2 linked regions of the Arabidopsis thaliana genome follow. The protein of the gene in region 1 interacts with the protein of each later gene in a pairwise test. Each region holds a gene or a part of one and is shown in the gene's direction. Other genes may lie near its edges.

What was found.
Region 2: the proteins of HDG4 (region 1) and AT3G11590 interact in a two-hybrid assay, tested with the Arabidopsis thaliana proteins (one large-scale study listed by BioGRID).

Annotation. Positions count from the first base shown.
Region 1 is NC_003075.7:9,855,702-9,861,114, reverse strand, and holds HDG4 (homeodomain GLABROUS 4), read left to right. Parts: upstream 1-1,826; coding exon 1,827-1,976; intron 1,977-2,059; coding exon 2,060-2,223; intron 2,224-2,330; coding exon 2,331-2,448; intron 2,449-2,595; coding exon 2,596-2,748; intron 2,749-2,824; coding exon 2,825-3,184; intron 3,185-3,270; coding exon 3,271-3,369; intron 3,370-3,456; coding exon 3,457-3,841; intron 3,842-3,929; coding exon 3,930-4,165; intron 4,166-4,239; coding exon 4,240-4,335; intron 4,336-4,419; coding exon 4,420-4,788; 3' UTR 4,789-4,860; downstream 4,861-5,413. Other genes in the region: AT4G17713 (Putative membrane lipoprotein), read left to right, coding at 907-955, 1,070-1,320. UniProt on the Arabidopsis thaliana protein: Probable transcription factor.
Region 2 is NC_003074.8:3,658,496-3,664,236, forward strand, and holds AT3G11590 (golgin family A protein), read left to right. Parts: upstream 1-1,802; 5' UTR 1,803-2,002; intron 2,003-2,101; 5' UTR 2,102-2,132; coding exon 2,133-2,615; intron 2,616-2,668; exon of another isoform or gene 2,669-3,290; coding exon 3,291-3,413; intron 3,414-3,779; coding exon 3,780-5,042; 3' UTR 5,043-5,239; downstream 5,240-5,741. Other genes in the region: AT3G11591 (bric-a-brac protein), read right to left, coding at 5,285-5,476.

The DNA of each region.
Region 1 (5,413 bases):
ATTCTTCCGGTTCTGAGTTGAGACCAGTATAAAAAGTGACAAAAATCGATAAATTAATAAGATAATAATTTTTTTGAAATCTATGTAAATATATGGTCCCATCAATATCATAAATTAATAATTGTATAAATGTATCAACTATATATATATATATATATATATATATATTATATGTAAAAAAAATTCTCTAAAATATATTTATAATATTTTTTTTGCTTAAATTCATATTTATTCTTTGTTTGATTATAGTTTTCATATTTTACTGTATCAAAACTTTTGATGTTGTTTTTTAGACATTATTATTATGTTTTACTTGTAAATGGTTCTATAAATATATTTTCTATAATGAAAGAAATCTTATAGAAATTTTTAAAACATTACCAAATTAGGAAAATTTCTCTATTATCTATAAATTAATACCTCTCTAAATTAATAAAATTTTGTAGTCCCAACTTTATTAATTTATAGAGGTTTTACTGTACTTCAAAGTTCTTCGTCAATGATTTAATTATCAAGATATTATAAAATTGTTTACCGAGATTTTTGGTAACTATTTGAGTAACGAATATTTGAGTAACGAATCGATTAAATAAATGCACTCTCAAAATGTAAATATAGAAGATCAAATGTTATCGCTGGCAAAAAGAAAAATAATGAATTTCCAATTTACTACCTTGATTAGAAACATCAAACTAGGTAATTTTTCACTCATTCTGAAACAAATTTGGTATAAAATCTTATTACATGAAGTAAGTAACGTATTTACCAAAACATTAACCAGTAAATTAGCAAAACAATTGCTTGCTGGGGAAGAAAACCAAATTATAAATACTCTCCAAATCCTCCAGTTTTAGTCACACAAACAACTCAAAACACAAGAGAAAGATACAAACTTATTCAATAAAAATGGAGAAAGCAGCTTTGATATTTATCGGTCTTCTACTTTTCTCAACATGTACGTAATTTTTTTGGATAATATGTTTAGTTACATTCATCGCCATCTTCTTCTTCCTCATCTATATTATATATCATCATGAATTCATGATCAATAACATATTTAATCTCATAGGCACACAAATTCTGGCACAATCTTGCAACAATGACTCTGATTGTACTAATCTAAAATGTGCAACGAAGAATATCAAGTGTGAGCAGAACAAGTGTCAATGCCTTGATGAAAGATACATCCGTGCGATATCGCTTAACACGAGGTCACCGAGGTGTAATGTTCAATCTTGCATTGACCATTGCAAAGCAATAGGCGAAGTAATTTATGTTTGTTTTACGTACCATTGTTATTGTCGCAAACCTCCAATGTAATAACAAAGTTATCATAATCATAGTATCTTTAACTTCTTTTACTGCGGCAAATTTCAACATATATTGTTTTATCATAACTATAAAATATGTCTTTAATAAAAGAAATTAAAACAATAATAATATATCTTACAAAATATTAATTATTTACGAGTTACAAGTATAGATTGGCGTTTTTGTTATTGTGGGCTTTTGGGTCCAAGATTGTAATACTGAGCAAAGATTTGATTGGACTCTCTGCTTCCTTCGAGGAAAAAAAAAGTAGAGTGTTGGACAAGCTTTTTGTCCATCTGTTAGTCCGTTAATTATCGCCGTTAAACATGGACGGACGCCGTTTACACTTCCTGGCCCGGTAACTATTTTTGAGTGCATATATCTCTTTCTTACCTTTTTTATCTTCTCTAGCTTATCCGAAGCCAAAACAACAAGGTAAGGTAAAGTAAAAAGAATTTTGAGAGTAAAGTGAAAACGAACCCTTTAAACTCAGTCTTCTCTTTGTCTGATTTAAAATGGAAACGAAAGACAAGAAAGAAAAAGGACATATGGTTTTAAATTCCGACAACGTTTTCGGTTCGGTGTCTTCGTCTCCGACAACAACAATCCAAAACCCTAATTACTTTACCTCCTTCGAGAACCCTAATTTCCCTTACATTTTTCCGGTTTGTCTTCGTCTCCAAAAACCCTAACTTTTTTACATATTTTTCTTAAAAAATTAATAACTTTATTGTTTTTGTGGGTTTAGAAAGAAGAGTATGAGGTGATGAGCAAGATCGAAAGCGGGTCGGGTAAGTCAACCGGGTCGGGTCATGACCCAGTGGAGAATACTGCAATCGAACAAGAGCCTCCTGCGGCGAAGAAGAAACGTTACCATAGACATACTGCTAGTCAGATTCAACAAATGGAAGCGTACGTCTTCTTGCCCTTTTAGTTTACAAGTTTATTATGTCAAAAAAATTATAACGATGATTTATGAAATGATGTTTAAAATATGAAATTTTGCCCTTTTATTGTAGATTGTTTAAGGAAAATGCTCATCCGGATACCAAAACAAGATTGAGATTAAGTAAAAAACTTGGTCTCTCGCCGATACAAGTCAAGTTTTGGTTTCAAAACAAACGTACCCAAATCAAGGTAACTAATCACTCTTTAGTTTGGTTTGATTTTAACAAGGTTAGTTAGACCATATAAACCGGTTTAAAATTGGGGTTAGAAACTCTGGCTAAGACCATTCATGTTAAGAAATTAAGCTTTTGTTGTTGCTAATACTGAGATTAACAGGCACAACAAAGTAGAAGCGATAATGCAAAGCTAAAAGCAGAGAATGAGACTCTAAAGACAGAGAGTCAAAATATTCAGTCCAATTTTCAATGCCTTTTTTGCTCTACTTGTGGCCACAATCTCCGCCTCGAAAACGCTCGCCTCCGCCAAGAGGTATGTATATTCGAATGAATCAAATCTTGGCTGTTGTTGTTTATCTACTGAATCATATGGTTATCATATGTTGCAGCTTGATCGTTTACGCAGCATTGTTTCCATGAGGAATCCTTCTCCTTCACAAGAGATTACCCCGGAGACTAATAAGAACAACAACGATAATATGTTGATTGCGGAAGAAGAAAAGGCGATTGATATGGAACTTGCAGTTTCTTGTGCTCGAGAATTAGCAAAGATGTGTGACATAAATGAGCCCTTGTGGAATAAGAAGAGACTAGACAATGAGAGTGTGTGTCTGAATGAGGAAGAGTATAAGAAGATGTTCTTATGGCCTCTAATGAATGATGATGATCGTTTTCGCAGAGAAGCTTCAAGAGCTAATGCAGTCATCATGTTGAACTGCATAACCCTCGTCAAAGCATTCCTTGATGCTGTAAGAATAAGTCAAAAACACATTCCTTATATTCATTGTTTAAAAACTCACATTGAACCATAAATATGTTTAACCTTTGCTTCAAGGATAAATGGTCGGAAATGTTCTTCCCCATAGTCTCAAGCGCCAAAACGGCTCAGATCATTTCTTCTGGAGCTTCTGGACCAAGTGGTACTCTTCTTCTGGTAAGTAATTTGCAATTTTACAATAGATAGAGTGTTCACATTAATTGGTTTTAAGGTCACTGAATCTTGTCTCTCTTTTCAAAAAAGATGTTTGCAGAGTTACAAGTAGTGTCTCCATTGGTACCAACAAGAGAAGCTTATTTTCTTCGGTATGTGGAGCAAAATGCTGAAGAAGGAAAATGGATGGTTGTAGATTTCCCGATCGATAGGATCAAACCAGCATCAGCTACTACTACTGATCAATACCGGAGAAAACCTTCTGGTTGCATCATTCAAGCAATGCGTAACGGATACTCTCAGGTCACATGGGTAGAGCACGTAGAAGTAGAAGAGAAGCACGTGCAGGACGAGGTTGTTAGAGAGTTTGTGGAGAGCGGTGTGGCCTTTGGCGCTGAACGGTGGCTATCTGTGTTGAAGAGACAATGTGAAAGGATGGCTAGTCTCATGGCTACAAACATCACTGACCTTGGAGGTATATATATAACTTGTTTCACAAGTAAACCTCAAACTTCCACAACCAATGTGATTAGTTATCCGTTTTCTCGTGTTTTTTCCTTCAGTGATACCTTCTGTAGAAGCGAGGAAGAACTTGATGAAGCTGTCACAGAGAATGGTGAAAACTTTCTGTCTGAACATAATCAATTCACACGGACAAGCACCAACAAAGGACACAGTTAAAATCGTAAGCAGGAAAGTTTGCGGTGGTCTTGTTCCTTGTGCCGTGTCAGTCACGCTTCTCCCTTATTCTCATCAACAAGTCTTTGATCTTCTCCGCGACAATCAACGTCTCTCTCAGGTAAAGAAAGTAAAACCAGAATCTTCTTCCTCTGTTCTTTTGATCCAAAGATTCTGAAAATCGATTCTCTGCAGCTGGAGATCTTGTTCATGGGTAGTTCATTTCAAGAAGTTGCTCATATCGCTAATGGCTCACATCTTGGAAATAGCATCTCTCTTCTTCGGATCAATGTTAGTGATTGATTCAAAATCCCAACAAAAAAAAAAATCGAATTTTGATTTTAAAACTTAAAAAGTTTGGTTTTTGAATTACAGGTGGAGAGCAATTCATCGCATAATGTAGAGTTGATGCTTCAAGAAACATGCACCGATAACTCCGGGAGTCTCCTGGTGTACTCTACCGTCGACCCCGTCGCTGTTCAGCTCGCCATGAACGGCGAAGATCCTTCTGAAATACCACTTTTGCCCGTTGGATTCTCTGTTGTTCCAGTGAATCCATCCGATGGTGTCGAGGGCAGTTCCGTCAGTTCGCCTTCGTGCTTGCTCACTGTTGCAATACAGGTCTTGGGGAGCAACGTCACCACCGAAAGACTCGATCTTTCCACCGTCTCCGTCATCAATCACCGTATTTGCGCCACTGTCAACCGTATCACTTCCGCGCTCGTCAACGACGTCGGTAATTAAGAGAAGATTTGGAGGGTATTTTGGTAAATAATCGCAGCTAAAAAAACTTATTATTTGTTGAGGTAAATTCGATCCGATACAAAGGGTAAAAACTGGAATTTACCACTAAATCTTTTGGGGAGTCAAGAACGCACCAAGGCATGATTTGTTGAACCGGGGTTTATCCGGTTTACCAACTGCTTGATTGGTTCGGGTATTGACTTCCAACTTGGTTAAACGAAAACGTTTTATATTATGGTTTTGTTCAAAACAAAGCTAGTTTAATGCTAATTACGAAAATCTACTTATGGTTTATTATTCGTATTGAATCCTTGTAAAATAATGTACAACTAGGAAAACCACCTCACAAATTAATTGCTCAGAAACCAAACAATCCACTTAACAATGCAAACAACCAATTAAACTTTGTCGAGCATACATAATACATTATGTGATCCACATTTCCAGATGGATCTGATCTTATGAGAAGCTTCGTAATTAGTAATTAGAGTAGGACTCGAACCGTACGAGCGACGACGGCCGTGGTGCTTTTGGACGTTGATGCCTAGTTATCGCCTAAACCACTTTTTAGAAAAGTTTCTTTATAGTATTGGCTCTGGGAACTCGAGAGTGAGGTATCCTGTAT
Region 2 (5,741 bases), on another chromosome or scaffold:
CAAGTGAAAGATTGATGGTTGGTAGACCATAGATTCATGCATTCATACCATAAGGTATACTGATGGTGATTGGGTAAATTTTTGAGTCAGCTATTACAATTGAAAAGTTCATCAAATGACAAAACTATTACAACTTAGATCTTTGACAGCCAAAAGAAAAAAAAAAAAAAAAGAGAAAAAAAAAACTAAATTGTTGTTAGAAATTAGAAGTCAGAAGTAAGAAGACTCCCATAGGAATACAGTTCTGGCAACCAATTTCTTAGTTCTTTATTGGGCATTCATATCTTAGTTGGGCCTGACTCATATATATTTTGAACTTTTTGTACGCAATTGTATCTAACACTATAGTCTTACATTGTTCATATATTTAATGTTTTATATTGATTGCTACCTATATATTTTGATATGATGTAGATCCAACTATTTCTAGGTTGAATTGTCTTTTCGAACAGATTTTGTTTCCGGATTCACCATAAAAAAAAAAAAAAACTTATGTGACAGAAAGTACTATAGAAAGAATCGTGTTTACAACAATAAAGAGACTTGACCCAAACAAAAAACGTTTACAACAATAAAGAGTTGAACAATAATACGGTACGATTGTGTATGTTGAATCATCTCCTCCACTTGGACGTGTCCATTTGACAACGGAAAAAAGTGTGGCCGTGTTATCTTTCTTTGTAACGTTTACAGTTTCAATTGTTTAGTTTGATCAAATAATTAACTTGTGAATTTTATGGATGCAATATCTTGAAAACTAGGAAATCATATCTGATCATCCTGCTATAAAAAAAATAATACATGCATTTTAATATTCATGGTTTCACATGAATACTTCGGTCATCCATTTTTCAATTACACGAGTGTAAATCTGTAATATCAATATTCATTTATAATTATAACGGGTTGTGATTTGTGAAATTGTGGGTATAGATAAAACTTCAAAACCTATTGAAATGAATATCTATATACTTGGAATAGTAGTAGACACATTTTGTAATGAGTAACTTAAGCACACCGGTTCTCACTCACACTCGTCTAATGGAGAAAAATGGTATATTATATACCTCATATAGGAACATGATCATATGATTTAGGAGTCATAAGCATGAGATTAACAAGATATTTTGGTCCACATTAGGAATCTACTAAAGGAACTATTTTCTTATAACCTAAAAATCTTGGTTTGGTAAAAAGAACAACCTTAGATTATTTGGTCTTTTATCGATTCATGTAATTGTGTATCAAATGATTAAAATCTAATGCATCCTACTCAAACACGTCATTTAAGAAACCCTATATAGTACAAACACGATCCAATCTCCAAATTAACCCATAGTATATCATAGACGAGCATAATATTTTTGGTCAAATATAAAATTAGATGCACTAGTTCCCTTTATTTAGGCAGATGGACTTTCTTCTAATCGAAAATAATTGTTCTCAATGAGCCGTCAAACTTTGTGAAATATGGATATAAATTCATGACATCTACATAATTTTTGGTTTAACATGTGAAATTGAACTTAGGATCTATTTCATTCGAATTCTTACCATATACTAACCAAATATAAATAATGTTTACTGCTAAATACTATTTATATAAGTTTGTTCTTCACTAAAGAAATTTGTTGATTAGTTTGTTTTTCTAATTGAGAATCTCTTATTTCAGGACCGATAAAAAGGAAGTGATTTCCGGTTTTCGATTCAATTATTTCGGTTTAAGTCGGTTTACAAATCATCCACCCTGTAAATCACGGAGCAACATCCATAATCCATACAGATCAAACCACGTGGACATGTTACAGTGTTCCTTATCACAGAAGATGAGTACTCCTGTCATCTTTCCCCTTTTCACTTTAACATAACACTCTGTACACTAGTCTGATCAAAAAACCTCAAAACACAGCAACCGCCATTTCTTTCCAAATTCCCCCAATTCCCATTCCAACTTTATCTTCTGAAGTAGAAGAAGAAGCCATAGAAATGCTTTGAAGTTTCTGTAAGTGTTCTTACTCACTCTAAAAACTTCAATTTTGGTCTTTGTGCTTTTTTCTAACAGATCGGTGAAATTTTCTGAATCTGCTTTTTGTTTTTCCAGGTAAAGAGAAAGATCTACAATTGTTTTGAATATGCCGAGGCAGAATCAAAGCGTAGAGAATCTACTTCTACTTGGCAAAATCAGGAAACGTGGTTGTTCTTCGCCGACATCGTCGACTTCTTCGATTCTCCGTGAAGGTTATAGATTCAAAAGAGCGATAGTTGTTGGTAAAAGAGGAGGATCCACTACTCCTGTACCTACATGGAGACTTATGGGTCGATCTCCTTCTCCACGAGCTTCCGGTGCTTTACACGCTGCTGCTTCTCCGTCGTCTCACTGCGGGAGCAAAACCGGTAAAGTATCAGCTCCTGCTCCTGTTTCAGCTAGGAAGTTAGCTGCGACGCTTTGGGAGATGAACGAGATGCCTTCACCTAGAGTTGTGGAGGAGGCTGCGCCAATGATTAGAAAGAGTAGAAAGGAGAGAATCGCGCCGCTTCCTCCGCCGAGATCATCGGTTCATTCTGGTTCTCTACCGCCTCATCTTTCTGATCCGTCGCATAGTCCAGTCTCTGAGGTAAAATGCTTTGGTTATGATTGGTTGAGAGGAAGAGAATGTGCTGTAATTCCAACTTCTTGCTGGCTGCCATGTGCTTTAATTCTGACCGATCAAAAGAGAGAGAGAAAAACAATAATATATATAGTATAGTATTGATTGATTCGGGGAAGTTATAAAGATCTCATCTTTAACTGATAAAATTGATAATCTTTGTGTGATTCTAAGGTCTGAATTTAGTCAAAGTTGTGATTTTTTTGGCAACCTCTATGAGTATTTTAATCATCAAGGGAGATTATTATTCGTATAAGCTTCTGGTTGATGTTAAGGAGTGGGATTAGAGAAGAATAGAAAACTGTTTTGATCTTAAGAATCTTTTGTCATGTGCTCTATAACGCACATTTATGTTTATATGAAAGGGCGTTTCTTTATAAGTTGGTGCCTATTATTCTTGCATAATTGGGCACTTCTACTAGTTTTTATTCTTTCTCATTCGTTGGTCATATGGAGGTAGCTGGTTGTTTTTTAGAGGTTGATTTATTGTGAATAATGTAGGCCTAGATTCTCTTATAATGGAGACCTAAGAAAAATTATATATAATGCTAAATCTGGCAATGGACAATGCGAAGAATTCTGCTTTCTTTACTTCTGTGTGTTAGGTAATTGGATAGCTGAGAAACTTGTTGATTTTTGTAGAGGATGGAAAGATCAGGGACTGGGAGTCGCCAGAGAAGAGCTTCATCAACTGTGCAAAAGCTTAGGCTTGGAGACTGCAATGTGGGGGCTAGGGATCCTATTAACAGTGGCAGCTTCATGGATGTAAGTTGATTTTTTTATTTTTTTTTCACTCTTGGGGATGTTTCTTTGAGCATTATGAGGAACCCTTTCTTCTAGCAGTTTTCATAATTTTCTCAAACCAAATTTGGTATTTGATTAAGGATGAAAGTAGTATATTATTGAGCATTATTGGCTCCAGAGGCTGTTGGTTTTTTTACTTTGGAAGCATACGTACACATAATCTATGGTTTGTTTTGTTATGCACAGAAACATTGCAAATAACGGTATAAGAAACTAGGAGACACTCAATCCGTTATGATTAGTTAATTTGCCTCCATCATCTATAAATCAATATGTGTGCAAGAGAGTGATGTTCAAAAATATTTGAAATGTGTTTTTCCAATGCAGATTGAGACTCGATCACGGGTGGAGACACCGACTGGGTCAACTGTGGGTGTCAAAACACGGTTGAAGGATTGTAGTAACGCTCTCACAACATCAAAAGAGCTTCTCAAAATCATTAACAGAATGTGGGGTCAAGACGACCGCCCATCTTCTAGCATGTCCCTCGTCTCTGCTTTACATTCTGAGCTCGAAAGAGCTCGCTTACAGGTCAATCAGTTAATCCACGAACATAAACCGGAAAACAACGACATTAGCTACTTGATGAAGCGTTTTGCCGAAGAGAAAGCTGTGTGGAAAAGCAACGAGCAAGAAGTTGTTGAGGCTGCAATCGAATCTGTTGCTGGTGAGCTAGAAGTGGAGAGGAAGCTGAGGAGACGGTTTGAGAGCTTGAACAAGAAATTGGGCAAAGAATTGGCTGAAACAAAATCAGCTCTGATGAAAGCAGTTAAAGAAATCGAGAACGAGAAGCGAGCGAGAGTGATGGTTGAGAAAGTTTGTGATGAACTAGCAAGAGACATAAGCGAAGACAAAGCCGAAGTTGAAGAACTGAAGAGAGAATCTTTTAAAGTCAAAGAAGAAGTCGAAAAGGAAAGAGAGATGTTGCAGTTAGCAGATGCATTGCGGGAAGAGAGAGTACAGATGAAACTATCGGAGGCTAAACACCAGCTCGAGGAGAAAAACGCAGCTGTTGATAAGCTAAGAAACCAGCTTCAAACTTACCTCAAAGCAAAAAGATGTAAAGAGAAGACCCGTGAACCACCTCAAACTCAGCTACATAACGAAGAGGCTGGAGATTATTTAAACCATCACATCAGTTTTGGATCATATAACATCGAAGATGGAGAAGTCGAGAATGGAAATGAAGAAGGTTCAGGCGAAAGCGACCTTCATTCCATAGAACTGAACATAGACAACAAGAGCTATAAATGGCCTTATGGTGAAGAGAACAGAGGAAGAAAATCAACGCCAAGGAAAAGCCTTTCTTTACAAAGAAGCATATCGGATTGTGTTGATTGGGTTGTACAGAGCGAGAAGCTTCAAAAAAGTGGAGATGGAGGGTTGGATTGGGGAAGATCTATTGACGTTGAGCCTAAAGGGTATATAGATGAAACACAAGCTTATAAACCAAACAAGGCTTCTTCAAAAGATCACCATATCCTCTCGGGTTCGAGACTAAGTAACTTCCGCGGTGGATCTGTTTCAAAGTCGCGGTTATCGGATGCTTCGAAAGGCGAGAACCAGAATGCCAGAAAATCAAGATGGTAATATGATCAAGAAATTTTATTCACATTTTCAGCGCAGAGATAACAGAATCTAAAGACTTTACATCTACATTTTTTCTCTGTTCGCTCGTTTTGTCAAGAGTGATTCTCTCATCTGTAAGTGACATAAAACATGAATTTGAACTGGTAATGATCCAAACATGTAAGAGCATGAATTTACACGAAATCGTCTTTTGATTTATATCATTTAAGAGTTAGAACGCCTACAAGATCGAAAAAAAGACACTAATCGTCGAGCCATTTCCTGATTCGATCCTTGACGAAATCATTACGAGCTTTGACGCGAGCTTGTTGCGGTGAGATGTTGGCGAGTGAGAGATACGCTCCGGCGACGAAGAGAGAAACGCCCGCCGCGAAAAAACCCACCGACACTACTAACTGCCGCCGTGTCGGCGGATACGACATAAAAAACACCATCTTATCGTTTACCGCCGTCTGTTGCAAAAGCTGTTTAATACTAACTGTTAATGGGCCGGGGTTTTTTATTTTATTTTGGGCTTTATTTTTAATCTCCAATTTCTCAACAAATTAAAAAAAAAGAGTATTAAAAAAAAGGAATGAAGATTAAACCGAGAAGGCGAGAACTTTTTTTTTTTTTGTTATTGGTTATTTAATATTATAAACAATGGTTTAATGGATTATTTTCGAATTTAGATCCATACAAAATTTGAAAAGAGCCCAA